4 linked regions of the Lonchura striata genome follow. The protein of the gene in region 2 interacts with the protein of the main gene of each other region in a pairwise test. Links are inferred from orthologs where the notes say so. Each region holds a gene or a part of one and is shown on either strand. Other genes may lie near its edges.

Region 1 (7,104 bases), on a different chromosome or scaffold from region 2:
CTCGGGGGTCCCCCAGTTCTTGAGGGTCCCCAGGCTTTGGGGGGTCCCTCACGCCTCGGGGGTCGCCGCCGGCCCCCCGAAAGCGTCGGCGCTCCGCGCGAACGTCTCGGCCACGAGCAGCGGGAACACGAGCGAGGCGTCGGCGTAGACCTGAGCGAGAGCAGCAGGGTGACGGGAGGGGAAGGAAACCCCCCAAAATCCCCCCAAATCCCCCCAAAATCGCCCCCCACCTTGACGGGCGTGGCGTCCACGCGGATCTTGCCCCAGGACACGGCCTCGTCCGGCCGCGCGCCCGAGTCGGAGCCGTCGAACTCTTGCGCCGTGTTGACGTAGACGGAGAAATCGGCGCCGTTCCTCTGCGCACACCCGGGGTGAGACCCCCGGCCCCGCCTCGGGGGTCCCCAAAAACCCCCTCCCCGTCGTTGGGGGGTCCCCCACTCTCACCATGAGGTTGGCGTTGGCGATGTGGTGCTTGACCAGACCCCCGCCCAGGATGATCATGCCGGTTTTGCGGGCGAAGATGGCCTGGGTGTTGATGAGGCGCAGGTCTGCGGGTCGACGAGGTTTCGGTGTTGGGGGGATTCAGGGAGCCCCTCAGGGCACCCCAAAATCCGGTGGGGCGCCCCACTTACCCTCCACGATGTCCAGCACGAGCCCCGGGCGTTTGTAGGAGTGGAAGAAGATCATGTCGCCCAGGGAGCCGTCGGTGAGCGCCGGGCTCAGCACCGGGATGTTGTTCTGCCAAAGGGGGGGGACGCGGTGACACCCCCCCAGTGCCCCCCAAATGTCACCCCAAAAGTGTCCCCCCCACCCCCCGGTACCTTCTGGGCCCAGTAGCAGATGGAGTCGGGGTTGTTGATCTCCTTGCCCAGCCGGGCGATCATCCGGGACGGCGTCCACCGCACGCCCTGCGGGGACCCGGCTCAGCAGGGACCCCCAAAATCCCACCCCGGGTGTCCAGGAAACCCCAAAATCCCACCCCAGATATTCAGGGACCCCCAAAATCCCACCCCAGGTGTCCAGGAAACCCCAAAATCCCACTCCAGATATTCAGGGACCCCCAAAATCCCACCCCAGGTGTCCAGGAAACCCCAAAATCCCACCCCAGATATTCAGGGATGCCCAAAATCCCACCCCAGGTATTCAGGGAGCCCCAAAATCCCACCCCAGGTGTCCAGGGACCCCCTGAAATCCCACGCTAAGTGTCTGGGGACCCCCAAAATCCCACCCCGGGTGTCCAGGGAACCCCAAAATCCCACCCCGGGTGTCCAGGGACCCCCAAAATCCCACCCTAGGTGTCCAGGGACCCCCTAAAATCCCACGCTAAGTGTCCAGGGATCCCCTAAACCCCACCCTAGGTGTCCAGGGACCCCCAAAATCCCACCCCAGCTATCCAGGACCCCCCCAAAATCCCCCCCAGCTATCCAGGTACCCCCTAAAGCCCCTTCCCAGCACTGTGGGGTCCCGATTTGGGGGGTCCCCCACCCCTCACCTGCGTGTCCTGCTCGTCCACCATCGTCTCCAGGATGGGCATCAGCCAGTCCTCGAACTTGCAGTAGTTATCGTTGGGCACCAGCAGGTTCCCGATCCTGAGGGAGCCCGAGGCCACCCCGAGGTGACCCTGAGGTGTCCCCGGGGTGTCCCCAAGGGGGTCCCAGCCCCCCACGCCCACCCCCAGGACCTGTTGATGCCGTTGTGCCGCAGGTCCCGGCCCCGCAGCTGGAAGTCCCCGATGTAGGTGGGCGCCAGGCACTTGATCAGGTCCTCCTCCACCCCCCCGGCCGTGGTCACCAGCACGTCCACCTGGCCAGGGAGGGGGTCAGCACCTGGGGGACACCTGGGGACACCCCCCTGACCCGCCCCAGGACCTCACAGAGACACCAGAGACACCCCCAGGACTTCACAGGGACACCAGGGACACCCCCCAGAACCTCACAGGGACACCAGGGACACCCCTGTCCATCCCAGAACCTCACAGGGACCCCCCCAGAACCTCACAGGGACACCAGGGACACCCCTGTCCATCCCAGAACCTCACAGGGACCCCCCCAGAACCTCACAGGGATGCCAGGGACCCCCCTGACCTCCCCTGGAACATCACAGAGACACCAGGGACACCCCTGACCATCCCAGAACCTCACAGGGACCCCCCTGACCCCTCCTGGAACCTCACAGGGACCCCAGGGACTTCCCTGTCCCTTGTCCCTGTCCCCATGTCCCCACCCTGTCCCTGTCCCCACACTGTCCCCAGGCTGTCCCCAGGCTGTCACCATGCCGTGCTGCACCAGGTAGCGGATGCTCTCCCTGTCCCTGTCCCCATGTCCCCATGCTGTCCCCTGTCCCTGTCCCCATGTCCCCATGCTGTCCCCATGTCCCCAGGCTGTCCCCTGTCCCTGTCCCCTGTCCCCATGCTGTCACCATGCCGTGCTGCACCAGGTAGCGGATGCTCTCCCTGTCCCTGTCCCCATGTCCCCAGACTGTCCCCATGTCCCCAGGCTGTCCCCAGGCTGTCACCATGCCGTGCTGCACCAGGTAGCGGATGCTCTCCCTGACGCCGGAGCTGACCAGGTTCGAGGTGAAGCCCAGGAAGATGGTGCAGCCCGAGGGCGGCCGCGGCCCGGCCATGGCCGCTCGCTCCCGCTGCTCCGCGCTCAGCGGCTCCAGCTTGGCCGCGATCTGCGGGAAGGAAGCCCCGGGAAGCTCGGGCCGAGCCCGGATCCCCGTCCCGGTACCACCGCGCCCCCATCTCCCGCACCATCCGCTCGATCTCCGCCACCGCCTGCGCGAAGCTCGTGGCCTGGAAGCCGGTGGTGCGGAAGGAGCGGAGCAGCGCCGCGTGGTCCGCGCCTCCCGAGAAGTCGTAGCCGCGCACCGGGAGAGCCTCGGCCGGGAGAGCCCCGCTGGGCCGCAGCACGGCCCGGAGCGCCTCTCCCGGCGCCTCTCCCGGTGCCTCTCCCGGTGCCGCCATGGCTCGGCCGGGCCCGCTCAGCGCGCCGCCATCTTGGGCCACGCCTCCCCCCCGTGCCGTACAGCCCCGCGCCGTACGGCAGCGCGCCGCCATCTTGGGCCACGCCTCCCCCCCGTGCCGTACAGCCCCGCGCCGTACGGCAGCGCGCCGCCATCTTGGGCCACGCCTCCCCCCCGTGCCGTACAGCCCCGTGCCGTACGGCAGCGCGCCGCCATCTTGCTCAGCCCGCCCGTCTCGCCTTTGCCGTACAGCCGCGCGCTGCCATCTTAAAAGGACGGCGGCCGCGGAGGGACGAGAAGGTGGCGGATGCGAAAAGGCGCCGTTAACACCGAGGGAACCCCGAAATTTGGACAGTGCCGAGGGGGAAAGGAGCCAGAACCCTCAGAGGACAACAGGACCCGCTGCAAAAAGATAGGGATGACATCTGTGGGCTAGAGAGCAACAGGAAGGGGTTTGGAGACTGAGCAGGCTTCCTTGAGTTATCTTTTCTTTTCTTTTCTTTTCTTTTCTTTTCTTTTCTTTTCTTTTCTTTTCTTTCTTTTTTTTTTTTTTTTTTTTGAGGACTATTAGGAATATTTAGGGGATTTTTGAAGGCTTTTTGGGATTTGTTACATCTTCCTAATAGCTGTTTTAGAATTCCTTGGTGTATTTTTAAGGTCAGGATGAGGGTCAGACGGGATACCCGCTGAAAATGCGGAGTATTCCTGGAATGCAGCGGAATGCTTCGGGAAGGTGCCAGTGGAGGGGCAGTGGGTCAGGTCCCATGGTGTGAAAGCTGTGATTTCTGGGACCAGTGGAATGGTTGTGGTTAGGGTTAGGGTTACAGGCTGGCAGCTTTGTCGAGGAGGGAGGGAGGGAACTGGGAGCGCTGGGAGAGAACTGGGAGCGCTGGGAAGGAACTGGGAGCGCTGGGAGGGAACTGGGAGCGCTGGGAGGGAACTGGGAGCGCTTTCCCTCCCAGCACCGCCCTTACTGGGAGCGCTGGGAGGGAACTGGGAGCGCTTTCCCTCCCAGCTCCGCCCTTACTGGGAGCACTGGGAGGGAACTGGGAGCACTGGGAGGGAACTGGGAGCACTGGGAGGGAACTGGGAGCGCTGGGAGGGAACTGGGAGCACTGGGAGGGAACTGGGAGCGCTCTCCCTCCCAACATCGCTCTTACTGGGAGCACTGGGAGGGAACTGGGAGCGCTGGGAGGGAACTGGGAGCGCTCTCCCTCCCAACATCGCTCTTACTGGGAGCACTGGGAGGGAACTGGGAGCGCTGGGAGGGAACTGGGAGCACTGGGAGGGAACTGGGAGCGCTTTCCCTCCCAGCACCGCCCTTACTGGGAGCACTGGGAGGGAACTGGGAACACTGTGAGGAACTGGGAGCGCTTTCCCTCCCAGCACCGCCCTTACTGGGAACACTGTGAGGAACTGGGAGCGAACCGCGCCCGGAGGCGGCAGTGGGCGGGGCCGGGGCGAGGGGCGGGGTTATGCAAATCCGATAGTCATCGCGCGCTGGGATTGGTGGGCGGGAGCAGCGCGGGGTTTGCCCGGTCACGTGAGGGGCGGGACGGGGTCGGAGCGATGGCGGCGGCGTCCGGTGAGGGGACCGGGAACGGGGACCGGGAACGGGGACCGGGAACGGGGACAGGGAACGGGGACCGGGAACGGGGACAGGGAACGGGGACAGGGAACGGGGAGCGGGACCGGGAACGGGGACCGGGAACGGGGACCGGGAACGGGGACGGGGACCGGGAATGGGGACCGGGAATGGGGACCGGGAACGGGAATGGGACCGGGAATGGGACCGGGAACGGGGACCGGGAACGGGAATGGGACCGGGAATGGGACCGGGAATGGGACCGGGAATGGGGACCGGGAACGGGAATGGGGACCGGGAATGGGGACCGGGAATGGGGAGCGGGAACGGGAACGGGAATTGGGACAGGGAACGGGAATGGAACCGGGAATGGGGACAGGGAACGAGGACGGGGAATCGGGACCGGGAATGGGACCGGGAATGGGGACAGGGAACGGGGACAGGAACCGGGAATGGGACCGGGAATGGGGACCGGGAACGGGGACAGGGACCGTGAATGAGAACGGGACAAGCGGGACACGAGGTCGGGATTACCGGGAACCGGCCGGGGTAGGGTTAACGGGTCCGGGGGGACACGGGGACAGCGGTGACACCGGGCACAGTGGGTCCGGAGTGGTGACACCGGGCACAGGGCACACCAGGCAGGGGGTGACACCGGGCAGGGTGGGCACCGGAGCGGTTACCGGGCACAGGGCACACCAGGCAGGGGGTGGCACCGGGCACAGCGGGTCCGGAGTGGTTACCGGGCACAGGGCACACCGGGCAGGGGGTGACACCGGGCACAGCGGGTCCGGAGTGGTTACCGGGCACAGGGCACACTGGGCAGGGGGTGACACCGGGCAGGGCAGGCACCGGAGCGGTTACCGGGCACAGGGCACACCGGGCAGGGGGTGACACCGGGCAGGGTGGGCACCGGAGCGGTTACCGGGCACACCGGGCAGGGGTGACACCGGGCACAGCGGGTCCGGAGCTGTTACTGGGCACAGGGCACACCGGGCAGGGGGTGACACCGGGCACAGGAGGTTGGGAGCGGTTACCGGGCACAGGGCACACCGGGCAGGGGGTGACACCGGGCAGGGCAGGCACCGGAGTGGTTACCGGGCACAGGGCACACCGGGCAGGGGGTGACACCGGGCAGGGTGGGCGCTGGAGCGGTTACCGGGCACAGGGCACACCGGGCAGGGGGTGACACCGGGCACAGCGGGTCCGGAGCTGTTACTGGGCACAGGGCACACCGGGCAGGGGTGACACCGGGCACAGCGGGTCCGGAGTGGTTACCGGGCACAGGGCACACCGGGCAGGGGGTGACACCGGGCACAGCGGGTCCGGAGCGGTGACACCGGGCACAGGGCACACCGGGCAGGGGGTGACACCGGGCAGGGTGGGCACCGGAGCGGTGACACCGGGCACACCGGGCAGGGGTGACACCGGGCAGGGTGGGCACCGGAGCGGTTACCGGGCACACCGGGCAGGGGTGACACCGGGCAGGGTGGGCACCGGAGCGGTGACACCGGGCACACCGGGCAGAGGGTGACACCGGGCACAGCGGGTCCGGAGCGGTGACACCGGGCACACCGGGCAGGGGTGACACCGGGCAGGGTGGGCACCGGAGCGGTGACACCGGGCACACCGGGCAGGGGTGACACCGGGCAGGGCGGGCACCGGACCGAGGTGACACCGCGGCTGTCCCCAGAGACCGAGCGGCTGCTGAGCCGCGGCCCCGGGTACGGCACGGCCGAGGCGGCGCCGGTCCCGGGAGCGGAGCAGGAGGAGGAGGAGCAGGAGGAGGAGGAGGAGCTGCGGCGCCGCCTCAAGTATTTCTTCATGAGCCCCTGCGACAAGTACCGCGCCCGCGGCAGGCGGCCCGTGAAGCTCGCGCTGCAGCTGGCCAAGATCGTCCTGGTCACCGTGCAGGTGGCACCGCGGGGTGGCACGGGGACAGCGGGGTGGCACAGGGGACAGGGAGAGGGGACAGCGAGTGGGGACAGTGGGGATGGCAGAGGGGACAGCGAGTGGAGACAGCGAGTGGGGACAGCGGGGTGGCACAGGGGTGGCACAGGGGACAGGGAGAGGGGACAGCGGGGTGGCACAGGGGACAGCGAGTGGGGACAGCGGGGTGGCAGAGGGGACAGCGGGGTGGCACAGGGGACAGGGAGTGAGGACAGCGGGGTGGCACAGGGGACAGTGGGGGTGGGCAGCAGGGATGGCCAGTGGGGACAGAGGGGAAGGGGCACGGGGACTTGGGGACAGCAGGGACAGTGGGGATGGCAGCACAAGGGGCTGGGACAGCAGGGAGGGGACACGGGGACATGGGGACACTGGGGAGGGGGCATGGGGACTTGGGGACAGCAGGGAGGGGACACAGGGACATGGGGACACTTTGAAGGGGACGCCGGAGTGTCCTGGGACAAAGCGTGGCAGCGTCACCGTGGTGGGACAGGGGCTGATGGCAGCGGTGGCCTTTGTCCCCAAGCATGGGGTGAAACACGGTGGTGTCACCAGGGTGGGACAGACCCTGACCGTGGTGGCCTTTGTCCCCAAGCATGGAGTGA
Region 2 (7,972 bases):
TTCCAAGCTATTACATATATGACAGTGACATATATTTTTTAGTGCAATTGTCAGTCTAATAAGATTTCTGTCTCAACAAATTTACTCTCACAAATTCTACCAGCTGTGCTCCTTGGACATTGGGATAGGTAGCTGGGATTAAGAGGATGTTTACTCCACATCTTACTAATGACTCCACTGTTTGAGTTAGTTTACCTTCTTTATCTTATCTTTCATCAAAACACAGTTCTGTGTTCATGATACCATAAAGTGTCTTACTCTTAGAGTGCTCTGAATTTTAACATTCAGTCACAAAAGGGAACATAAAATGAAACAGTACACCTTTGGGCCTGATATCCTGGGCAGGAAAATAAAAAATTTAGTCATTATATAAATTACAAAAAATGCTATCTTTCCTTCAATTTGTTCAGTCTCTACCACGTCAACCAGCGTACTATGGAATCCGATTAAAATACAGATGAGACTTCACATGACCGTAAATTCTAAGATGCTATTTCTTAACAGTGCTTCCTAGTTCTTGGAGGTAAACGTGGTAAAGGCAGCAGTGTTTCCCAGTGTTGTTCACACACTCATGCTCCCTGTGTTCCTGCAGTGCCAGTCCTAGCAGGCATTCTGGCTTGCAGGCCCATTTACCGAGTGTCCTGCCAGCTCCCACGGCTACGCGGACGTGGGGGAGCTGCAGGTGGCCTTTGACACGCTCAATTATGTCTGACAAGGAGACTGGCTCGCTCAGGGTGCACAGGCGTCCCATTCCAGTATGGGGAAGAAGAGGCTGAAAAAAATTTAAATTACCGTGAGAAAGTTGACTCCATGTGCTTTCCACACTTTAACAGGATGAGTATATTTGGTTTGCAGGAGCAACACTGAACTTTACAAAAAAGTATTTATGTGATGTTCTCAAATGTAACATATCAACTACACCAGCTATTGGAACTGATTTAAGAATTAGTACAGACCACATAGATAGTTTCATTGCTTTGGAAAATGTGTGTGGCTTCAAATTCCCGTATGCCTGTATGTCGGAGCACTGGGGTAGCACTGGAAAGCTGTGATGCCACTGACTACTGCATTCAGCTCACACAAGTAATACATTCACAGGAAGTAATTTTGTGATTTTGTTACCTTCTGTAGTAAGAGAATCTCGGTCTTGTGATAAAGAAGGCTGTTCTGGGACAATAATGCCACCACCTCCAGCAGTGCTTTCTGAGAGCAGTTGAGACTGACTCGTGTTTGCTCCTGACCTTCAACCCTGAGGAAAGATATGCCTGGTGCTTGTTAAGAAGCTAGATAAAATTTTGGAATTGTAATTACTATATTAGAGTATTATAATTATTAGTTTTGGCATTATAATTATTATTATTTTATCCCAGTGGCTGTTCTAACACTGAGAAAGGAAAAAAGGCAGCATTGTAATAGCCTAGACTTGTCTTGGAAAAAACAAATATGGGAATTTAACTCACCTGTCCCGATCAAATTTCTGGTTAATACTCTTTTTTAACACCCCTAATCTATGTGATGCTAAACTGGAGTTGCTATTACCTTTTAGCATGACATAGATTGACCGGAAAGGGACAACTATTCCTTAAGATTGTTATTCAGTTGCTGAAAAACATAGCAGCAATGCACAGAGGAACAAAATTATTAGAACAGTAAAATACAATTACAGCAACTTATTGTTTCAAATAACAGGAAGAATACAACATTAGAGAGTGGAGCAGATACCTGGCTGGGAGAGTAGTGAGACAAGAGATCTCTGGGATGTCTTTGATTTTGGACAGCACTGCATCCAGATGCTCAGCATCTGCACAGAATTCTACCCGGTGAGTGCCCTCAGCTGGAGAGCTTGGTGCAGTTGATGGATGCAGTGGGACAGAAGTACAGGTGCCTGAGAAAACAGTACAAGATTGCTGGTTTATAAAGCAGGGTAGGTATCCTAACACTGATTTGGCACATACCTTATAGAGATGCAGCACAAAAGGTACAAATTTTGCACTCAAATCCTTTTTTCCTGACTAGAACTGAGGCTTTTCATTCTGTCTCCATTAGGCACAGTCTGTTTTAAGTCCAAAGATGGATATGTATTATCTGCCAGTCTCAATGCCATCAGTTTTATCCTAAGGATTGTCCAAAACCAGAAGGAGTTCCTAGTTTGTATAACAGACTGGAAAAGATGCAGCTATTGTAATCTGTGAGCCACAATACAGGATAAAAATCTAAAATAACTTCACATAGTTTAAATGCTTTGCAAATATTGAGATCTCATACTTTCAAGGTGGTGATTTAAAGTCATTGGTATCAGAATTGCAACTACAGTGGACAATATATATGCGCCACCAGTTACAGACACATCCAATAGTAGAGTCATACATCTAAAACTATTATGTTGTTATCTGGTATATACCACCAAGAAAAATGTCCTAAAATGTATTTAAGGTTACAGTACCATAAAAATATTAGGAAAAATAAAAACAATCCTCAAATCACACCTGTAAAAGCTAGAAGGCAAATGATGAAAGATCCCACTTAAAATAGCATACATCTTTAATAATTTTAACTTGTTTGCTCTTAACAGAATCTCACCGAGTCCCTTTGTTAGCCAGTTATTAACTCCGTGAGGTATGGCATCGTACGCCGTATGTGGAGAATAAATCCCGATTCTGTTCTCCAAGGCTCGGACCACCAGCCGTTCCTTCCAGGTTTTCCACGTTATTCGCTTGAGTGGTGCGAATATAGGAGGGTGGTAAGAAAGAACGAGGTCTGCTTTCCTCTGCACTGCCTCTTCCATCACCTCCTCAGTGAGGTCGTTAGTGAGGAAAAGGGTGTTCACAGTGTGGGGAGGACTTGGTTCCACCAGCAATCCCACATTGTCCCAGCTTTCAGCCAGAGCGGGGGATGCGAAGTCATTCAGAGCAGAAACGAGCTCCCGGAGGTTCATGAGGGCGCGTACGGGCGGGCGGCCCAAGGCACAGACGCGGTGGAGAGGCGGGCGGAGCAGCGGCGGCACAGACAGCAGCATGCGAGACCTGTGCGGGGCAAACAGGCCGCCGTGAGCCCCGGGAACCCACCAGGCAAACAGCAGCCACGGCCGCTCGGGTTGTGGACGCTGCGCCCGCCCACCCCCGGCACCACCCGGTACCACCCGGTACCACCCGGTACCGAGCCCCTCCCCACCCCGGGGCTCCCGCACACGCCGCCCCGCTGGCCAGCACCAAGCGCGCGGAGCTCAAGCTCCGCCCCTCTTCCCGCGGCACGGCCGACCCGCAGAGCCCGGCCGCACAGGCGCTCCCTCCTCGGCGGCCTCGCTCACCTCCCGCCGGGGCAGCGCCGGCGCGGCGGGGCGGGACCTGCGCTCGGCTCCGCCGCTTCCGCCGTGCTCAGCGCGGCTGGGGCGGCCCCTCGGTAGCGCCGGGAGGGAGCGGAGGCCCGCGGGAGCGCCGCCGCTTGTCCCCGGCGGGGGCTGGGTCCGCGTCAGCCCCGGCAGGTTCAGGCGTTCTCCGAGCGCGGCGGGCGGCGGTGCCGCCGGTGGAGGAGCCCAGCTGTTCTGTGCGCGGCATTTCGGTGGCGGTACCTGGGCAGGGAGGGAGCGGTAGCTCCGGCTGCCGTGGGTGACGGGGAGCGGGGACAGGTGGGTTGAGGTGGGGACACGGGACCGGGGCTTCACCGGCGAGGGCGGGTGTATAGTGAACCTATTGTCGCTTAAATATATATCTCGGCTTCTATGTAGCCGCGCTTTTATTGCCGGCATTTTAAACACTTTAATTGAAAGTATTACAAAGTTAAAAAGTCTGATCCTGTGGTTGCGTGCAGGTACCTGTCTGTTTCAAGCACTCACAGCTGTCATGAGTTGGCCCCAAATCACGCATCTGTTAGGTAGTGGCATGTGGCTTTTACCTATGAATTTCTGCCATCTGCTGTTCTGCCGACTGCCACAATACTTGCAAAAACTGATTGCTTGGTATGAATTTTCATCCTAGGAACGAGTGTTTTTACCCTCTTCCCCGTTCTCTAAGTGGTCTTGTTCTAGTAGTTTTTCATTTTTTCTATGCTGTGTAGTTGCTCAATGCAAAAATTTAGCCACAGAGTCATTGGAATGGCACCCTAGAACTGTGTGGTGGAAAAGCATGTAACCAACAAATATTTTAGAATCAAAACCATATGGGGGTTGGTAGGAAAAAACCCAACAAAGTTCTTATGTTTACAGGAAGTTGCTGTATAGAAGGCTACCTCAGATTTTGATAAGCAGGCATGGTAAGAATAAAAGCACATTTTATATGTTTTCTGAAATGGTCATCTCTTGGAAAGCGAATAGCTTCTCTCCGTCTCAAAGGATTACACGTTTTACTCTGATGCTGTGAGTAATTTTTCATGAAAAGTTCAGGGTTTTCATTTCAAACTTATAAAAAGATACTATGAAAAGGAAAATAGGTTGATTTACATTAGTCTAACACATCATTATGCTTTCACTTTAGAGATCCCAGATTTTAATGCTACTTTGGCATGTATTTGATAATCTAGTTTGGTTTCTTTTGCCACAGAAGCATTAGTCTAGTTGCAAGAACATACCTCTGATTCAGTGTATGTAAACCTCTGTGCTCAGAGGCTTTTAAAAAGTTAGCAATTTGAGAAATAGATATATATGTCTTAAACTGATCATACACCTTCTATAGGATCTTCGTGGACATTGTGGACAGCTATCTCCTTTACTTGTATACTTTTGGAGCAGTATGCCAGTATCAATGTGATGCTGATTTTAATTAGTTTTGCTGTACAGCTATCCCCACAGTAATTGTTTTTGCATAGTTTAGCACTTTCCATAGAAGCACTGTAATATATATGTCCTGTAGAGATAAATTTGCTTACGTCACTGGGTAAGCTGATTTTAAATTTTATGAAGGTAACTTACTTTTCTTAAGAACTTATAAGTTAAATTTTGAGATTTACTTATCTGTGAAGGCACATTATACATTCTGCCATTCAGAACTAGCCTTATTAATCAAAAGGCTGCAGGCATCAGTTGCTTCTCTAGTTGTAAAGCAGCGCGGTGTGTGCACCATCCAAAATAGATACAAACTTGATTCTTCACCTTTACTTTCAAGTGACTGAGTAGGCCCTGAGTTGGCAAATGAATAATGTATTTCTGGAGTGGAGCATGCAACAGGTACTGCATTACCATGGCAAACTTGATTTGTCCTGAAACTAAATGAAACTGAGTGCTTTCTGGTGATTTCACTGGAAATGTGGATTGGTTGTGACAGTAACCTTGCTTATAGCCAAATGTTGAAACAGTGAAACTTGCAGTTTGCACTGCAAACTTCAATGCAGTGCAAACTTACTTATGTTCTTGATGGGACTGGGAAATAAAACAGTGTATGTTAGTATTTTATTGCTGATTTATTTACTGTTTTCTGCCTTTTGCTCAGGCTGTCACACTGCATACGGATGTGGGAGATATTAAAATTGAACTGTTCTGTGAGCGTACTCCAAAGACTTGTGAAGTAAGTCACACACCAGGAGTAGGATTGCCTAGTGGTGAAACAGCAGTAGCAATAGTCAAGCCTGTGAAGGAGGTGAAGTAGCTTTTGCAATTTTACCTTTTCATGTAATGGAACGCCAACATTTTAAGCTGGTGTAGTGTCTGTTCCAATCATGGAACTTGTGCACTCTGTCATACTGACTGGAGTTTCATGCCTGTTTCTCTCTTGATAAGGTTTAGTTAAGGGGTGCTTCTTTTGAAGTTCCAGCATCTCCCAAAGTGTCCTTTGCCTTTAAGGCAAAATACAGCACCCAGCCTAGGATTCCCAAATTTCCATGGGTTTACTCATATCCCCACAGACTTGATTTTAGTTTGAAAGAGTGAGACTCACGGTTTGTCAGGCACCCCAGTTTTGAATTTTTGCAATAAATTGAAATTGAAATAAAATGCATTTATTTTAATGAAAAAGCTGAGGCATTAAGTTATTGATTACAAAATTACATGTGCCAAATAAAATTATTGAATGGGAATGATATTTGAGAGAATGTCTTAGGCTTCTTGTTTGTTCCTCAAGTCAGACAGCCTTGCACTGAAAGCTTTGTATTCTTTGTGTGTGACACTATCAAAGGAGTTTATTATCTATGATTTGTTTATGACTACTCTGCAGCAAAAGTCTGTGGAATTCACACAAAGCAAGGCAGAGGTAAAAGCACTGGTCTTGCCAATGCTGTCATTTTAGTAAGATAATACTATTTTTCAGTTGTTAATATGGTTTGTTTGATTTTTGTAGAATTTCCTGGCTCTTTGTGCTAGTAACTACTACAATGGATGCGTATTTCACCGAAATATAAAGGGCTTCATGGTTCAGACAGGGGATCCATTAGGTAAATTCTTCTGTCTGGGTCTTTCTATGGAAAAAATGTACATAAAAATAAAATGTAAGGAAATAAAAAGGAATTATGGGTATTAAAACTAAAACGTAAGTAAAATAAAAATAAAAGAATTATTGTATTGTTGATAAGAGTTTTTTTATGATGAGGGGTTTTTTTTGTGGAGGGCTTACAGAAGTGCAGGCATTACCCCAGTTTTAAGTAATTATGCATTCTACAAACTTGAGTTTTAGCAGCTATTTTCACTAAATATGATGGTTCTGTTGACTAAATTAGAAGCAGGTACTAATGTGCTTTGTGTGGTTTCTGCCTGAAAGGCTGCATCTAAATCATTTGGGGAAAACGTCCCAGACGGTGTCAGCTGTTTGGGAGAAAAGCTGATTCAGTTGTGTCTGTTCATACTCATACTGAATTTAATTTGAGGATGTGTCAGTGTTTTGTTCTGCTACTTAATAGATTCCTTATATAGAGTTATGTCTTAGTGCAGTATCAAGAGCCTGCCTCAGACTAATTGCAGGCTGTCTGGACTCTTTGTTGTAAAATGCTGTAACAGAACAAACATAATTTCTGGGTTTTTCAGTCTGAAAATCCAGTAATTTCTACTGTGGTGCTTCTTTGTCAGGCACTGGGAAAGGAGGTAACAGCATCTGGGGCAAGAAGTTTGAAGATGAATTCAGTGAATATCTAAAGGTATTTATGTGCTCTCAATATGCACTTATGTTTTCATTTTAATTTTCTCGGCAATAATTTTCTCTTGGTTGGAGAACAATAGCTTATTATTATAATAGGAACAGGCATTTCTGTGCTTGGCAAGTGAGATTTGAGAGTTTTCATCACAGAAAGCAGAAGTAAAGAGAATTTCTGACAGCATTTTTCATGTAGTGGGCAAAGAAGCAGTTTTTCACTGTAAGAGCCATTCTGAGCAGCTAATTATTGACTGTGATAGAATATATTAGCAACCAAGATTTGTTCTTAATAATTGAGGAAGAGCTCTAAGTCATAGAGCACTTTGCCCAGGTTAGTTCTGGTTTCACAGATGTGTATTCATGCTGAGGTTTTTCCCCTTGTTCAGCACAGTGTCCGTGGGGTAGTTTCCATGGCAAACAATGGTCCCAACACCAATGGATCACAGTTCTTCATCACTTACGGCAAACAGCCTCACCTGGACATGAAGTACACGGTGTTTGGAAAGTAAGTGATTCAACTGCACGCCTCTGTCAGAGTGTGTGAGAGATCTGAGTATTTCAGGGCACATGCAAATGCTTGAACTTCTTCTCAGAGTCTGTCGTGGATGCTTAATAATCCCTTTCAAAGTACATTATTTGCCACATAAAATGTATTGGTTGTCTTATTTTGTATCATTTGCTTGCAAAGTCCCTGCCTTGTGATACTTGACTGTAAAATGTTTTGACACACATCAACAGTGAAATTTAAAGCATTATTAGAAGGCAATTTTCTTGTGTTTTTCTGGCAGAGTTATTGATGGCTTGGAGACCCTGGATGAGCTGGAGAAGCTGCCTGTGAATGAGAAAACCTATCGACCTCTTAATGATGTTCGCATTAAAGACATTACAATTCATGCCAACCCTTTTGCACTGTAGCCACAGAA
Region 3 (7,505 bases), on a different chromosome or scaffold from region 2:
ATCAAGAAGTGACAGCAGCTGCTGCTAAAAGCTCTTCTCCTGCCCCAAACATCTGTGCCAGCAGCTGCACCAACCAGCCAACTGCTCTGGCATGGGGGGTCCTTTTGGGTTTCTTGTTTTGACCTGAAATTTTGTCTCAGAGCCAAAGAAACACCCAACTATTCCTGACAAAATCAGCCTATATGATTCCCATGGAAGCTTTTAGCTTTGACAAATTGATGTTTTCCAAGAGAGTCTCTGCACAGGGAGGTTTCTGGCTGGCTCAGGCTGTTAGTCACATCCTAGCCCATTACAAATCCAGTTGGGTGTCTTTCTGCCTTCCTCTCCAGGGATAACGAGGCTCAGTGAGGTCTGGTTATAATCAGCTTTACTTTCAGCTTCTAAATGCTCCTTCATTTGGGATGCAAGGGGAAAGGGAACGTGTTCAAGTGAAGCAGCTGCTCCTATCAGAGTTTCAGCAGCTACTGCAGCAATGAGGGGAGAGAAGGGAGGAACCAGCAGGGAAAGGAAAGACAGGGCAAGCCCCAGAAAAATCGAGTGCAATTCATCTCCCTTGTGCACAAGGAGGAAGTCCTGCCACGAGGTCACACAGGGGCACAGAGGCAAGCACAGGATGATGCTGAAAACGAACACTTTCACAAGCAGTTCACAGCTTTCACTATCTCAGGCCTCCTGCTCCAGGGATTTCCAGAAATTCATCACCATGCAAAGTTTTCTACCCAACATCACACCACCATAAACCACCAGCTGTCAAAGTCTGGCTGCTTGGTGCCTGCTGCATCCATGTTTTCCCAGGGTATCATCCACACTTGACATTTAGCAGAAATGAGGACATCACAGGAAAGTTGAAAGCCCACAAACTGCTGTTCATCTCTACCACAGCTCAGTGACACAGGACAAGAGTGCTCTCTGAGGGACATGGAGGTCACTTTGATGCTAAAATCTGTGTCTGACCCATTTCTTGTCATTCCCTGCTTGCTGCAGGGAAAACCTCCCAGGGCATTCCACACCAGTGATGCTCATCGTGCCAGGAGCAACAAAGAGCAGTGCAGGAAACAAACACCCTGCCACGCACTCCCACAGAGATGTTATCTCCTGACCAGCTTCCAGGGCTTGGCTGCTACCAGCAAGTGCCTGACAAGGAGGAGGAGAGGTGGATCACCCACTGCACGTGGATGTTAGTCAGTCAGCACAGCAGCACGGCCACCATCACAGCAGGACACTGCTCAGCTCAGCTGCCTGGCGTGGCTGAACTCACAAAAAAGGACTCAGACTCCCTGAACTCCCAGAAAAAACACAACCTTGACCATGGGGGTTCACCTGGGTGAGCCCACGGCCACACTGGATGGGGCTTGGAGCAACCTGGCCCATGTCTGGGCACACAGAAGGTGTCCCTGCCCAAGGCTGGAATGAGATGAGCTTTAGGATCCTTCCAACCCAAACCATCCTGGGATTCTGTGATGCCATGACCCCCTGCTGAATCAGAAGTTTCTGTGCTGATTCACACACAACTCCCACAGCTGATTCTCTCCCTCTCAAAGTTCACCCTCCCCAGTCACGACTCATCCCTGCTCAGCCACCAAACGCTGCTGGGCCCATGGTGTGGCTGGCAGAGCTTTTATCCAGAAAACCACGATAAAAGATTACATTTCCCTAATAATTCTTGACCCTTGGCTGTCCCCTCTATTTCCTGCAGACACCAACTTCACTGGCTGGGACAATGCTCTGATGGTGGCAGTGGGGACCCAGCACCTGGGATCTCGTTTGATCTCAGGCTGAAATCTGAAATAAGCAGTTGGTGAAATTGTTTTCTCTGCACTGTCTCCTCCTTCCTTGCTCCACCACTGCCGAGCCTCCAGCCTGCACTTTGTAATTAGTGGTTGAAATGAAAATGGGGTGGGGGGAAAGAGAAGTCTAAAATAAAATCTGGACTATTCTTGTTGTTTTATTGACGAAGCCTCCTGCATTCCCTATGATTTCTGAACTACATGCTATTTTTTTTTTTTTTTAAGGCAGCTACCCTGCAATTTCTGCAGGGCAGCGAGGCAGTTTTACCCAGAGTAGTTCTCAGTATGACAAATGGATGGGAAAGAGATGCCGGGATCGTTGACTATCTGTAATTAACCATTAAGATGAAGGCTGGGAAAGAATCAGTGCACCACAGAGAAATTTTAGTGGCACCTACTTTTTTTTTTTCTTTGTTCACTCCACCCAATATGTGACGGACTTTTTGGGGGTCACTGTGTCACCAGAGCTCCACAGGTGGCTGTCACAGCTTGGATCCGTGTCGTTGGTCCTACAGAACCGCGGCACCCACCGTGCTGGGGTTTCCCTGAAGGAACATCCCCAGAGGGGCCCCGGTTCCCAGCACCCCCACATCCCCCGCAGGCACCTGCTCCCGGGGGGACCGGGGCAGTGCCCCCCAAGCTGCCCGTGTCCCCACCGGGCTGCACACACACCCCAAGCGAGGGAGCCCAGCGATGCCGCATCCCCTGCGAGAAGGTTTTGGGGTGCAGGAAGGGCTGGGGCGGGGGGTCACACCGCGGCAGGGCGGAGAGCACGGGGGAAATGCAGCGGGACTCAGCGGCACGGCAGGAGGGGGAACCGGGAGAAACGGGGGAAATCGGTGAGAACGGGAAAAAGGGGCAGGAAGAAGAAGAAAAAAGGGGAGAGCAACGGGGAGGAAGAACAGGGAGGGGAAAGGGGGGAGAGACAACGTGGGGTGGGGCGAAGGGGGGGAACAGCGAGAGCTGAAGAGGAACGGGGATCCGGAGCGGCCAGCGCGGCCGGACCGGGGCGGAGGGCGGAGGGCAGCGGTAACGTCCCGGGAGCCCCGAGCGCCGCCCCTTACCGTTGAGCCGCACGGTGAACTGCCGCCGCTTGCGATCGTGCTCCACCTGGATGGGGCAGCCCTGCTCCAGGAGGCCGAGCGGCGCGGAGTGCGCCATGGCGGTGCCGGTGCCGGTGCCGAGGCGCGGTCGGGCCCGGCGCGGCCGCGGCCGCAGGAAGCCCCAGCTGTGCGGCACGTGCCCGCCCCGCAGCCAATGGCCGCGCCGCGCTTTTGTTTTGGTACGGCCGCGCGGCCCTTAAAGGGGCAACGCCAACGCCGCCGTGGGGACCGCAGGCAGCCCAGGCGCCCCCGCGCGGGCGGCGCCGCCACCAGCGGCCGCCGGAACGGCGCGGGTTCGGTACTGGTCCCGTGCTAATTCCGCACTGGTTCTGTGCAGATTTGTCACTGGTACTGTGCTGGTTCGGCGCTGGTCCCGCACTAATTCCGCACTGGTTCCGTGCTGGTTCGGCACTGGTCCCGCACAGGTAACTGTACTGGTTCTGTACCGGTCCCACACTGGTCTCACACTAATTCTGCACTGGTTCTGTACTGGTCCCACACTAATTCCGCACTGGTTCTGTGCTGGTCCCATACTGGTTCTGTGCTGGGTCGGCACTGGTCCTGCACAGGTTCTGTACTAGCTCTGTACCGGTCCCGTTCTGGTCCTGCACTAATTCCACACTGGTTCTGTACCGGTCCCGCACTGATTCCACACTAATTCCACACTGGTTCTGTGCTGGTCCCATACTGGTCCCACACGAGTTCTGTACTGATTCTGTACCGGTCCCGTTCTGGTCCTGCACTAATTCCACACTGGTTCTGTGCTGGTCCCATACTGGTTCTGTGCTGGTTCGGCACTGGTCCTGCACAGGTTCTGTACTAGTTCTGTACTGGTCCCGTTCTGGTCCTGCACTAATTCCACACTGGTTCTGTACTGGTCCCACACGGTTTCTGTACCAGTTCTGTACCGGTCCCACACTGATTCCACACTAATTCCACACTGGTTCTGTGCTGGTCCCATACTGGTCCTGCACGAGTTCTGTACTGGTTCTGTACTGGTCCCGTTCTGGTCCTGCACTAATTGCACACTGGTTTTGTACTGGTCCCACGCTAATTCTGCACTGGTTCCGTGCTGGTCCCACATGGGTTCTGTACTGTTCTGTACCAGTCCCACACTAATTCTGCACTGGTTCTGTGCTGGTCCCGTACGGGTTCTGTACTGGTCCCACACTGACCCCACATCGGTTCTGTAGTGGCTCTGTACTGGTCCTGCACTGTTTTTTACCAGTCCTTTACTGGCCCCGCACTGGTTTTCTGCTCTGGTCTCCTGCTCTTTCCCCGCTCCCATCGAGCCTGGCCCCAAGGACTGGGTGTCTGCTGGGCAGAGGGGTAAATTCCCTTCCTTCTCCATGAATGTTGGTGAGGAGGTGTTGTCCTTCACCCCATCCCCTCCCTGGCAGCTGTGTGCTGCTGCAGGGAGGCACAAACAGCAGGGGAGCGCAGGGAATGCAAAGCCTGCAGCAGCCAGGCCCAGCACGGCTGGCGTGTGGCAGGGAGGAAGGGGAGGGATAACTGGCATGATCCCAGAGCTGTCAGGGAGGGCTGATGCCCTCCAGCACACAGGGATGCTCAGGACACAGCAGGGCTGAAGTTTTAGGAGAGAGGAGGAAGGAGAAGCAGGTTTTGCCCAGACATGGGTGAGCAACTCCTTACTGTCACCCTGTTCTTTGGAGAGTTTTAAAGTTCTTCTAAAAGTTCCTATGCCTTCTAATATTTACATATTTCTACTGAGTTTTCTCACACATGTTCATGTAAATAATAACTGTTTTACATTCTTCTTTGTGGGTGGAGAGAATTTATAGACTGTTAGCTTGACCAGTGCAGCTGGAGAGGTGGCAGTTTCACCCTCCAATCCACTACCATTTTTGCTAATGTATATATAGTAGAGTCAGAAAATAAAGTTTACTTTTTTGAGTTATTTTTTCTTTCCTTTTACATCCAACCTGCTTCTGTGAGTTATTTCATGTCACAGTGTAACACCTTACTGCCCTCGGTGATCGCCCTGACCCAGAGCCAAAGGTTCACCTACAGCCCCTGAAAGCATGGAGAGCCTTTCCATGGGTGCCAAAACTGCAGCAAAACTTGCCAAAATCTCTGTGAGCACTCGGGCTCCATGGGGATCCTGTGCCTGTGCTGATTCCCTGGGACAGCGGCTCAGACGAGGAGGGGCAGGCAGAAGCAGCCATGGGAAGCTGCAGAAGAGGTGGAGAGGTCCCCCAGGAGATCCCCAAGCCCTACCATGGCTGGGAGGTGACCTCGAGGGTGCTTCTGGTGCCTTCCTCACAGCTCGTGGGGGTCTGTGTGCTCCCTGCCTTCCCACCCTGTTGGATCTGGATGCTGAGTGCTCCCAATTTCCCTGTGTGCCCTGCAGAGCTCCTGTGCTGGAAGGCCTGGCAGCCTTGGTGACACTTGTGTGTCCCCTCTCACCCCTGGGATTGAGAGCCAGAGACTCAAATCCAGTCACTGCTTCATCCAGCCCTGGATGTAGCAGCCTCCAGGGATGCAGGAGGGGGATGGTGCACATTTGGGGACAGCAGGGCCATGTCCCCAAGCTCGCAGTGACACCCCAGGTGCTGCCAGCAGCAGGGCCAGCTGTCAGAGCCGGTCCCACAGCTCCCCATTTGTAAAAGAGCTGGTGATGCTCTGCTCTGCCACAGACCCCCCAAAACTCACACCCAAGCACTGCCTCAGCCCAGAGCTGTGTGGATCAGTTCAAACCCCGCTGCTGGCTCCAAGATCCGTGTGGATAAAGGTCAGAAAGGGCCCCTCAGCTGGCCCAGCCCTGCACTGACACCACAGCTCTTGCATCAGCGCTGCTGACCCGCGGCTGGGCTGCAGAGCAGTGGCTTTTTTGGAAAGACTCCTCCTCGTCTGTGTTGAAAGACTTGAAAGGTGGCGAATCTGCGACCTCTCTGGGGAAGGTAATTGCTCTCCCCGCTAAAAACCTGTAATTGATGTTGCATTTGAGCTCTTCCACCCTCAGTGTGCAGCTGGATCTGGTGCCTTTGGTGCTTGAGGCACCCGTGCAGCCACAGATCCCAACTCCTGCAGCTCCTTCCCTCTGGCAGCGAATCCCTTCTACTGCCTGGCTTTGAGGAGGTTTTTCCAGTCCTCAGATTTATCCCAAACTCTCTGCAAAGCTGAGAGCTGGCTGTGGCAGAGCAGCTGCGATCTCACCAGTGCTGCCAGCAGTTGCCACCCCTCCAACTCCTCCTTTGGTCTTTATGGATCACACGAAGAATTCCAGCCAGAAAATGGCACTTGGAATCTCATTTTTTTTGCTTTTTCAGCTGCATCTCTCACATCGTATCCAGCATTTCTGCCTGCAGCCCAGCTCGGGTGGCTGTGGGAGCATCCTTACCCCAGGATGTGCCACGTCTGGGAGGGGTTGATTCCTCAGTGACTCAGGGAGGAATTAACCATGGAATCAGAGCATCCTGAGCTGTAAGGGACACACAAGGATCATCCAGTCCAACTCCAGGCCCCCAAATCCCACCCTATGCCTGGGAACGTTGTCCAAACACTCCTGGAGCTGTGGCAGCCTTGGGGCTGTGCCCATCCCCTGGGGAGGCTGGGCAGTGCCTGGTCACCTTCTGGGGGGAATTTCCTTTCCCTGATATCCAGCCCAAACCCCCCTGACACAGCTCCGGCCGCTCCCTTGGCTCCCCGGCCATTTCCCAGCCGGACACGCCGCTGGCACCCACGGCACGCGGGACCCACGGGAGGCGTGAGTGACCACCCTCAGCTGACAGAGGAGGTGAGGGCCGAGGAGCAGCACAGGGGGGGATGCTCGGCGCCCCAACCCCGCGGCAGTGTCGCCGCTCTCGGGGCAGCGTCCCCGGGGCCACGACGGCGACACCGAGGCCACCTCTCCTGAGGGGCAGCAGCACCCGCCCGCCTCACTTCCCCCTCACAGCCGCGCCCGAGAACCGCAGAGCCGTTTCCGCGCGGGGCCCTGGCCACGCCCCCCGGCGCGGCGCTGGCCAATGGCGGCGCGGGGGCGGGCCCGGCGGGGCGGCCGCCGGCGGGGCCGCGGCGGGCGGGACCGGCGGGCGCCGCTGGGGCCGGGCCCGCCGGGCTCGCACAGCGCCATGTCCCTGCCCAGAGGTACGAGCGGGCTCGGGAGGGGCGGCGGGGCCGGGGCTGCTGCCCAGCCCGCCGGGCGTGGGCTCCCCGCGGCTTCCTCTGCGCTGGTCCCGGAGCCGCGATGCCGGGGGCTGCGAACCCTCGGTGGGGATGCGGGGTGGGGGAGACGGGGCGAGGCTGCGTTTGGCGTGGGGAGAGCGATAAGAACAGGCGAGCTGTGTTTGTTTGCCGCGAGTTTCGCCTGCCTGCCTTGAGCTCCCGCTGCTCGGGAACTCCGGGCTGGGAGCCGCGGGCCAGCGGAGCCCCCGCCGGGCTGGGCCGGGAGGGACGGAGCGGGCTGGGACTGCGGCCGTGGGCTGTGTCGCCTCGTGTCGCCTCGTGTCGCCTCGTGTCGCCTCGTGTCGCCTCGTGTCCCCTCGTGTCGCCTCGTGCCGGTGTCCGGGCACGGCCGGGACCCGGTGCCGGCGTGTGCCGGGAGTGCCGCGCTGCTGTCCCGCTGTCCGCAGCCGCGGAACGTGACCGTGTGTCA
Region 4 (7,649 bases), on a different chromosome or scaffold from region 2:
CTGGCATAGCTCTGAGTCCTGGGGCCTTTGGCATCTGCCTCAGACTGAGGTGCTTGTCAGCTGGAAAGCCCAAGCATGGCAGGCTGCCTCCCCTAGGTCAGCCCTTCCCAGAGCTCTACAATCTGGCCCAGTCCAGTCAGGACTTCAGGCCTGGCTTCAATCACAGAGGTCAAAACTAGCTGGGATCAGGGTCTCTTGGGTTTCCATCTCTGTTCTCAGATATTGAAACCAGGTTAACATGACTCTCTCTTACCATGTACCTCCTTGGTTGTTTCAGCCAGGATGTTCAGTGAAACCGGAGCTGGGATGTAATGAATCCCTGTCAGAAAACCTGGTGGGATGAACTGATGCAGAGGAGTGTAGTATCCTTGAGAGAAATCTCCAGCTCCATCTGGAACCTGTGGAAACACATGAAGCAGATCACTTTGTATCTAAAGACTCTCTCCAGCATACATCTGCATTATCAGACCATTTCTGGGTTTTTGTCCATATGCTGCCAAGTCAGTGCACATATTGACACATGGAAAGCCTGTGCTGCAACTGAGGAGCAAGAACTTCTCAGACCATATCAGAGGAAAACTGACCCTTTTAAGTCCTTGTCACCTGTTCTAGCAACTCATTGGAGTAGTTGGTTTAAACCAGGAGCAGCCATCTTCTTTCTCAGTAGCCCCTAAAACGTGTCAGGGAATTTCAATACAAGCATCTATTGGGTTTTTTTGTTTGTTTTGTTTGTTTGTTTGTTTGTTTTGTTTATTGTCTTGATTTTTTTCTACCTTAGCATCAACTGATGAACTGTACTGAAAGCAGGTCAGATTATTAACATCATCATTTGCCAATGTATCAATGGTATCAAAATAGTATGAAGTAACTGATAAGGGAAATGACTCTTCATGGTTACTTCAACAGAGAGAAGGCAGCTAAAATAAAGCAGTATTAGCACAGGTAATTAAAAGCATGCTACTCACTGATACAGTGGTTGCATTCCCTGGCACATAGCTGCTAGGAATGTGTCGGAATCCTCTCTGAAGTGATATCCCTGGAGGTGATGGTGCTTCCCCACTGCTTGACTCATTGATGGCAAATCCCAGGGGAAATGGGTGGTAAGGATATACCCCAGAACATCCCGGGTACACTTTTGGGATTTCTCTCTCCAGGTATTCTGGGTTGACAGTGTATTCTGGAGGAAAAGCAGGCTGAGCTAGGAAACAGTGAGAAAAGAACAAATAAAATTATCCATGTTATTTTATGGAGTTATGTAGAAGTAGCTACAGGAAAAAATTGCACTCTCAGACAGGAGAATCTGGTCCTTTGGTTTCATGTTTAGCTCCCCATGAATTGATTTTGTGATTTTTTTAATGAACTAAGGAAAGGTACAGCAGATGACACTGTAATGCAGTTATTCTGCATTATTTTCTGCGTTGTGTGCTTTGAAGTTTGTCCTTAGTAAAGCACTGGCTGCAGAATCTTATTCTTTCAGTACATCAACAGGAGCAAAACAGCCTACCTAAACTTTTGATTCTAGTGGTACTTAAAATTCCACAGAAATAGCCGAGTTCTAACTTTATAGCATTCTAATATCGCAGTCCTATCTGTCACTTCTTAGGTTAATTTACAGCACGCACAGTTTTAGGCTCATACACAAACAAATCTGAAGCAGAAATCAGTTACTTCACTTTTTTTCTTGAATCTTATTTTTATTACAAAACAAAGCTAAAAAGGGTAACAGTATTCTCTTAGGACTACGGATGTCCAAAGTAAGTCTTCTCAGGACAAACATTTTGTCTTGCAGTCTGGCAACTCTCCAGAGTCTCAGATTCATGACTACTGCCATCAGTAAGAATTTCTGCAACATTCTTATAGTAATAGAATGGAGTTACTATAATAAATTAGAAAAGTCACAATAAAGACTCTAAAGGAAGCCATTTAAGAGATGACAGACCATACAACTGCATGCCCTGCTATTAAATACCAAATGCACTTTTACATCAAGTTATCCCAACCAAATTTAGTTTTTGTTACAGGTATGAATTAAGGCAAAAAGGTCTTTTTCTTCTACAGTGCTAGCATGAAATTCTTGCTACAGACAGCTGCAGCAGTTACTGTACCTATTTACATGCCATCACTGAGCTTTTTAGCATTTTTGCTGCTGTAATTTTGTGCCTGTGAGTTTATAAACACTGTGACAGCACTCAAAGAAACAAGCAGAGCAGATCCAGTTTTGCTGCACTCCCAGATCAATCTCCCTCTCAGTGAAAAGCCACTTTGCTTAAGCTTCGAGCTCGCAAGGGGCGGCGAGGCTGAGCACGTTGTTCCCGCCCTGCGCCCCGCGCGAAGCCATCGGGGGCGGACGAGGCTGCAGAACCGACATGCCAGCCCCGTGCCCTCCGGGGAGGGAAAGCGGGACAGAATGCAGGAGCGGCTCCCGGGCAGCCGGAGCCTGAGGAATCAGCGAAATGCACAAGTGGCGCCTTTGACAGGGGAAAGCGAACAGCGGGAGATGCTGGGAAAAGGCTCTGGGGACAGGTCCTTACCGTCCTCCCTGAAGGCAGATGGCGGTGGCCCCCAGCATGCCGTGCCCTTGCCGCCGCTGTCGGGCTGGGCGCCCGTCTTCCTCTCGTGGCTGCAGTGCTCGGGGGCCCCGTCCTCTCGGGCAGCCGCCCCACGGCCCTCGCCCGACGGAACGGGCTTCGCGCCCGCCCTGACCGCCGGCTCCGTCTCCTGCTGCCTCAGCGCCTTCTGGGCTGCCATAATCTTCTGCCGCTCGGTGATGAGCGAGCACTTCTCGCACAGGCACAGCTTCCAGGGACAGTGCCCGGCGTGGCCCTTGACGGGCACCACGAAGCCGTGGTTGCGGCAGCGGGAGCACTTGGGTGCCCGCAGCGCCTTCGCCTTGTCCTCGGCCGCCTCCATGGCACCGCAGCGACTGCCCAGACCCCCCGCCAGGCCCTCCCCGCCCTCTGGCTTTATATGGGACAGGGGATGTAACAAGCGGGCCCGGCGGGCAGGAGGGCCCATGGCAGCGGGTGGGGAGCGCGCCGGGTCCCGCAGCCTCCCTGCCCTGCGCCTGGCACGGCTCCCCCGGGCACCCCCGCGGCCCTTTGGTGCGGGCGGCAGCCGAAGCCCAGCCGCGGGGGGCTGAGCCTGCGGGAGCTGCGGGGGGCACGTTGCTCTGCGCTGCTGCCCGCCGGGGTGGGGGGTTTGGATGGACCCGCTGTGCACGGATAGAAATGCCATGTCCCTACAGTAGTGCCCTAAAAGATAATTTTCCTTTTTGGCACTTTAACATCTGCACCCACTTTCATACCTCTCATGCATTCGGTTTTAATATGCATGGGACTGCTGTCCCGTTTTGTTTCCAATTTGCAGCATGCTTCTCTTGATGAGGAGGAGTGACTGCCTCAGCAGAAAAAGAACACTTTGATCATTCTGTTTTCCAAAAGAAGCTACTAAGACAAAGGTAGAAAGCATATGTCATTCCAACGACCTGTCTCCTTTTCTCAGAATTCCTTATTCTCTGGAAACAAAGACAGGCTTACAGTTAGAAATACAGGAATGCTCCAGTTCTAGTATTGCTTTGAAAGCACTTGATATTTGTTACTGCTGGTAGCTGCAAACCCGTGATTTACACAATAGCCCATTTCAGGAGAAAACTCCTCATTTTGCAACGTAAGGCACTACACTGCTAAATTTTCTTACCTATACAACAGCTGTTTTAAAATCTTAAGGTGGCTATAGCTTCTATGTTAAAGAGAACACGATAAAAATTAATCACCAAGTAGTAGACACTCTTTCTACTAAGTTTCAAGAGAGCCAGGCAGAATCTATCTGCTTGCTCTGGAACAATTCTAACTGCAATGGAGTTTGTTTCACAAACCTGGCAGAAGCCCTTCCCTTGGTGCAAAGAATCCCGGATAGCCTTGGTGCACCCTTCAACACCTTGGGGGGTGAGGCCCCAGCAGAGCAGGCCCCTTAGGGATTTGGCAACAGTGTGGTTTGTCAACAAGTCTCTTTTTTGCAGTAAGCAGCCAGCCCCTGTGCCCACCAAAGCTCAGACGAGATTCCAGGCTTCTCACTTTGCAGAAGACCCAGTAAGACTTTGCACCTAAGTCCTGCAGGTTTCCAGTAGGATTTTGCCAAGGCCTTGATCTTCCCGTACTCCTTCTAAACACGGACTCTATTACATATAGACAGATAAAATATTCTTAATTTTATGCTCCATATTTTTACTGTATGCTTGGGTTGTGCTAATTTAGCTGTAGAATGAAAGAGGATGGATGACACATTTTAAAAAGCTGTAATTATATCTTTTCATAGATACCCAATCTGTGTTCATTTGGATACTTGAGCAGAGGGGGAGAAAGGTAGGCTACATGTATTTTCCCCAGTAATTTTCTGTTCTGAGTCACATAATACTATTCTTCAAGACATTTACTCAAATACACAGTAATGTATCCCTTCTCTTTCTAAAATGGCTTACCAGCCATGGGCTGTTCCAGTTTCTTCACTAATTAAACAATTGCTTTCAAAGTCATGTGGATTTTCATTTTGAACAACTTTCATCTAAACACTCAAGATTTATTATAGTCTCCATATAGTTTGTTTCAAACATAACTACACTTGCTTTTTGCAGAAAAGTGAACATTTTGCTTTGCTTGTGAGGCAAATCCTTGTTTTTGCAGGCAGTTCAGAGAATTCTGTTACTCCAATCCTGTTATGTTTTTGTATATATATTTGAGTTAGCTTAATCACACTGTAAGAAGACCATAGCAGAGAGAAGATAGAACAATTTCTAAATACACTTTTGGAATGAAGTGTAGATTTGTGTTTGGATGCAGCTTCATGTCTATTATAATTTTCTTACTTGTTCATATTTGAAAGAAAATGAGGCCCAATAAAGACTCTTCAAAACTTAGTTTTCTCTTGCATTTTATGTAACATATGGTGGGAGCAGAACATAAAATGTGTAAAGAATTGTGTATTAAAGTAACATTTATAAGAATTATTATCATGCCAACATGAAAGGAAGGCAACTTGCTGACTTTATGTTATTGAAACAAATAGCAATAATATCTCTAGTCCTGTCCAACTTCTGAATCATATAAAGTGTGTGGTTTTGGTGTGCAGTTTGCTTTGTACATGGAACAGTGAGGAAAAGCAATGACTTAGCTAAAAGGGAACAAATCAAAAGACTGTCATAAAAGTGAATAGCAGGAAATTAGGGTTTATTTTTTTTCCCCTCCTTCTCAGACTTTCCAGCTAATATTCATACAATAAATGTTTTTTGGCAAGAAAATTTTTCTGTGGCAAGAAAATTGTTCTGGCATTTCAAGCAACAGAAACTTAATCAAGAAATTTGTTCAGTCTGAGATCTCCATTAATAAATATTTCCACACTTGGTTTGAAGTACATTTTCTTATACATAAAAAATCAAGACTATCTTTCAAATTTTTAAGACATCACATATGAAGGTTAAATCCTCTATTCAAAAATTACCTTTTTATCATTGTAGTTTTGAAGTATCCATTATGGACTGTCATAAGTTATGATATAAAAATTGATATAGTAGTACTACTACCAGGTCTTCTCCATTATAACTGTGTAGTTTACAACTCAGCTAGGGCATAATCGACATGTGGAGATACAGCTGCAGAGGCAGAACTGCCCATGAAGAACTCTCACCTTCACCTGTCCCAGAATATCATTTTAAGAAGTAACATATTTAGCATCCTCATAGTTAGAAGCTCCTTGTAAAAAAATATGAAAGAGTTTCAGACATGCTCTGGCTGACCTGCAGTACCAAATCCCCTCTCACTGCTGTGCTCACAGCAGCACACATCCATCAGGGCTGCCACAGAGCTGCAGGGCTCAGCTCCCTGCTGACAAGCCCACGAGGTTGGCTGAGCCTGCCCAAAACAAGCCTACATGACAATGAATAAACTTCTTCCAGGCACTTCTGTACACTGTATTTTCAACTTTTCTAATCAGAGTGAAATTGTACTGTAGTAAACTTTGTTTTTTTTTTTAATGTGAGGGAAAGTGCAGCATAGAAACAGTGCAATATAATTATATCCTAGCTACCTTAAAATTTGAAATGGATGAAATGTGTTTGGATTAAACCTTTTTTAAATCTGGTTGCAGTTAAGTTCTCTAAATTGAAATACACAGATTTTACTTTTCAATTCTATTTCAGCATCAATTCCTTTATTTTAAAATGTTGTCTTCTGTAGTGCAAGAAGGAGTTCCACTGAGGTGTGTGGGGTTTTATTGTTGTTTTATTTGAAACAGTTTTAACCAGAGCACAATTAGATGTTGACTTTCATCTGCTGTATCAAAAAGGTGAAATTCTCTGCTGTGATCAGAGAAAATTGGATGGAGTTTATACATATTTTAAAGTCTTAAAAATGTATCAAAGTTATATAAGCACTTCTGGTTTCTTTAACAAACACAACTAAAATGAATCTTGAGTACTTAAAATTGAGTATCTTTTTTACATATAACAGTTCTTAAATATTAACAGCAGAGACTTTATTAGAAACACTGCTGTTAGTTTATTGTAACAAGATCTTTATTTAAGAGAAAAGAAAAAATTGATTAAACTGGTAATTCTGTGATCTGGATATTTCATGAGTTCCAGAAGGGTGGGGTGGACTTGGAGAGAAATGAACACCAGCAAGGAAACCAAACACGTAGCAGCTCTTATGAGAGCTCTTATATGAGAGGCATCAATATGCCTTTCATATAAGCAAGAAATAAAATGCATTAAGGGGAAAAGAGTGAGACAGACATAAGTACACACACACACACAAACACAAACACAGGGATGCTTTTCTCAAATAAGTGATAATGTTTAAAGATCCCTATCTAGAAAAAAAAAAAAATAGATCCATGATAAAAAAAATCCTGTGGGAGATGTTCAGTCAGTTTGCAATAAATAAAGATCACTGTATCATTGAAGTCTGATTGTTTGCTTATTTTCCATGTCTAAGAAAATAATTATCCCTTCAGAAGAAATCTTTTGTTTCTATAGAAGGTCACCTTTGTAGGAATAAATAGAAAAAAGAGTAACTGAAAACCCAAAGGATAGTTCACTTGGATAGTGCTGTGGCAGCTGCAGGGGTGCCTTAGTTACAGCACCATTTTACTTCAGTCAGCTCCCAAATTTAGTGACTTTTATACTGGATAGCACTCAGCTTGTCAATCAGTCTTCTGCCTAGAGAAATAAACACATTTTTAATCCAAAGTCCTCATTCTCCTTCCCCTCAGCCATAGTTCTTGTCATATTATCTTAGACACAAAGAACAGAAAATCACATTTGAATTCTCCCAAACAGCAAAAAAAGGATTTCATGCAGAAACAGTCACTCTCTCCACAGTAAGTAGGTGGCCTGTTTAGAGTCATCTTTGTTTGGCACCTATTTTGTGCTGAAATTGTCATATTACCTTGTCAGCAAGCCTAAAGCAATGCTAATAGATGGATAAGGCAGGAGACAGCTGAAAGACCACTACAAACATCAAGTGTACTTGCTGTGGGCAGGATTCCATTTGTGATTGTCAACACTGGTACATATCCCACATTTTCTAAATGCATTTCTCCACCTCACATCTGAATTGGATTTCAGAGTATCTGAAGTAACTTAAACAATGCAAAAT

What was found.
Region 1: the proteins of NIF3L1 (region 2) and DHPS interact in binary tests that used the Homo sapiens proteins (3 or more experiments, as listed by UniProt). The two-hybrid records come from large-scale screens. The link is inferred for Lonchura striata from reciprocal best matches to the Homo sapiens genes NIF3L1 and DHPS.
Region 3: the proteins of NIF3L1 (region 2) and NATD1 interact in binary tests that used the Homo sapiens proteins (3 or more experiments, as listed by UniProt). The two-hybrid records come from large-scale screens. The link is inferred for Lonchura striata from reciprocal best matches to the Homo sapiens genes NIF3L1 and NATD1.
Region 4: the proteins of NIF3L1 (region 2) and DMRTB1 interact in a two-hybrid assay, tested with the Homo sapiens proteins (2 studies listed by BioGRID and IntAct). The two-hybrid records come from large-scale screens. The link is inferred for Lonchura striata from reciprocal best matches to the Homo sapiens genes NIF3L1 and DMRTB1.

What each region holds. Positions count from the first base shown.
Region 1 is NC_134623.1:1,585,652-1,592,755, forward strand, and holds the start of DHPS (deoxyhypusine synthase), read right to left. Parts: upstream 3,018-7,104; 5' UTR 2,969-3,017; coding exon 2,756-2,968; intron 2,677-2,755; coding exon 2,515-2,676; intron 2,302-2,514; exon of another isoform or gene 2,274-2,301; coding exon of another isoform or gene 2,271-2,273; intron 1,804-2,270; coding exon 1,682-1,803; intron 1,590-1,681; coding exon 1,493-1,589; intron 909-1,492; coding exon 822-908; intron 739-821; coding exon 633-738; intron 549-632; coding exon 445-548; intron 357-444; coding exon 231-356; intron 151-230; coding exon 49-150; 3' UTR 1-48. Other genes in the region: MCOLN1 (mucolipin-1), read left to right, coding at 4,537-4,552, 6,246-6,466. UniProt on the Homo sapiens protein: Catalyzes the NAD-dependent oxidative cleavage of spermidine and the subsequent transfer of the butylamine moiety of spermidine to the epsilon-amino group of a critical lysine residue of the eIF-5A precursor protein to form the intermediate deoxyhypusine residue.
Region 2 is NC_134610.1:27,187,833-27,195,804, forward strand, and holds the start of NIF3L1 (NIF3-like protein 1), read right to left. Parts: upstream 3,017-7,972; coding exon 2,581-3,016; intron 1,886-2,580; coding exon 1,723-1,885; intron 1,250-1,722; coding exon 1,123-1,249; intron 773-1,122; coding exon 634-772; intron 1-633. Other genes in the region: PPIL3 (peptidyl-prolyl cis-trans isomerase-like 3), read left to right, coding at 4,246-4,248, 5,421-5,495, 6,264-6,357, 6,986-7,053, 7,436-7,554, 7,838-7,964. UniProt on the Homo sapiens protein: May function as a transcriptional corepressor through its interaction with COPS2, negatively regulating the expression of genes involved in neuronal differentiation.
Region 3 is NC_134618.1:15,096,594-15,104,098, reverse strand, and holds the start of NATD1 (protein NATD1), read right to left. Parts: upstream 3,006-7,505; 5' UTR 2,949-3,005; coding exon 2,852-2,948; intron 1-2,851.
Region 4 is NC_134611.1:9,254,829-9,262,477, forward strand, and holds the start of DMRTB1 (doublesex- and mab-3-related transcription factor B1), read right to left. Parts: upstream 3,016-7,649; coding exon 2,532-3,015; intron 1,199-2,531; coding exon 966-1,198; intron 399-965; coding exon 254-398; intron 1-253.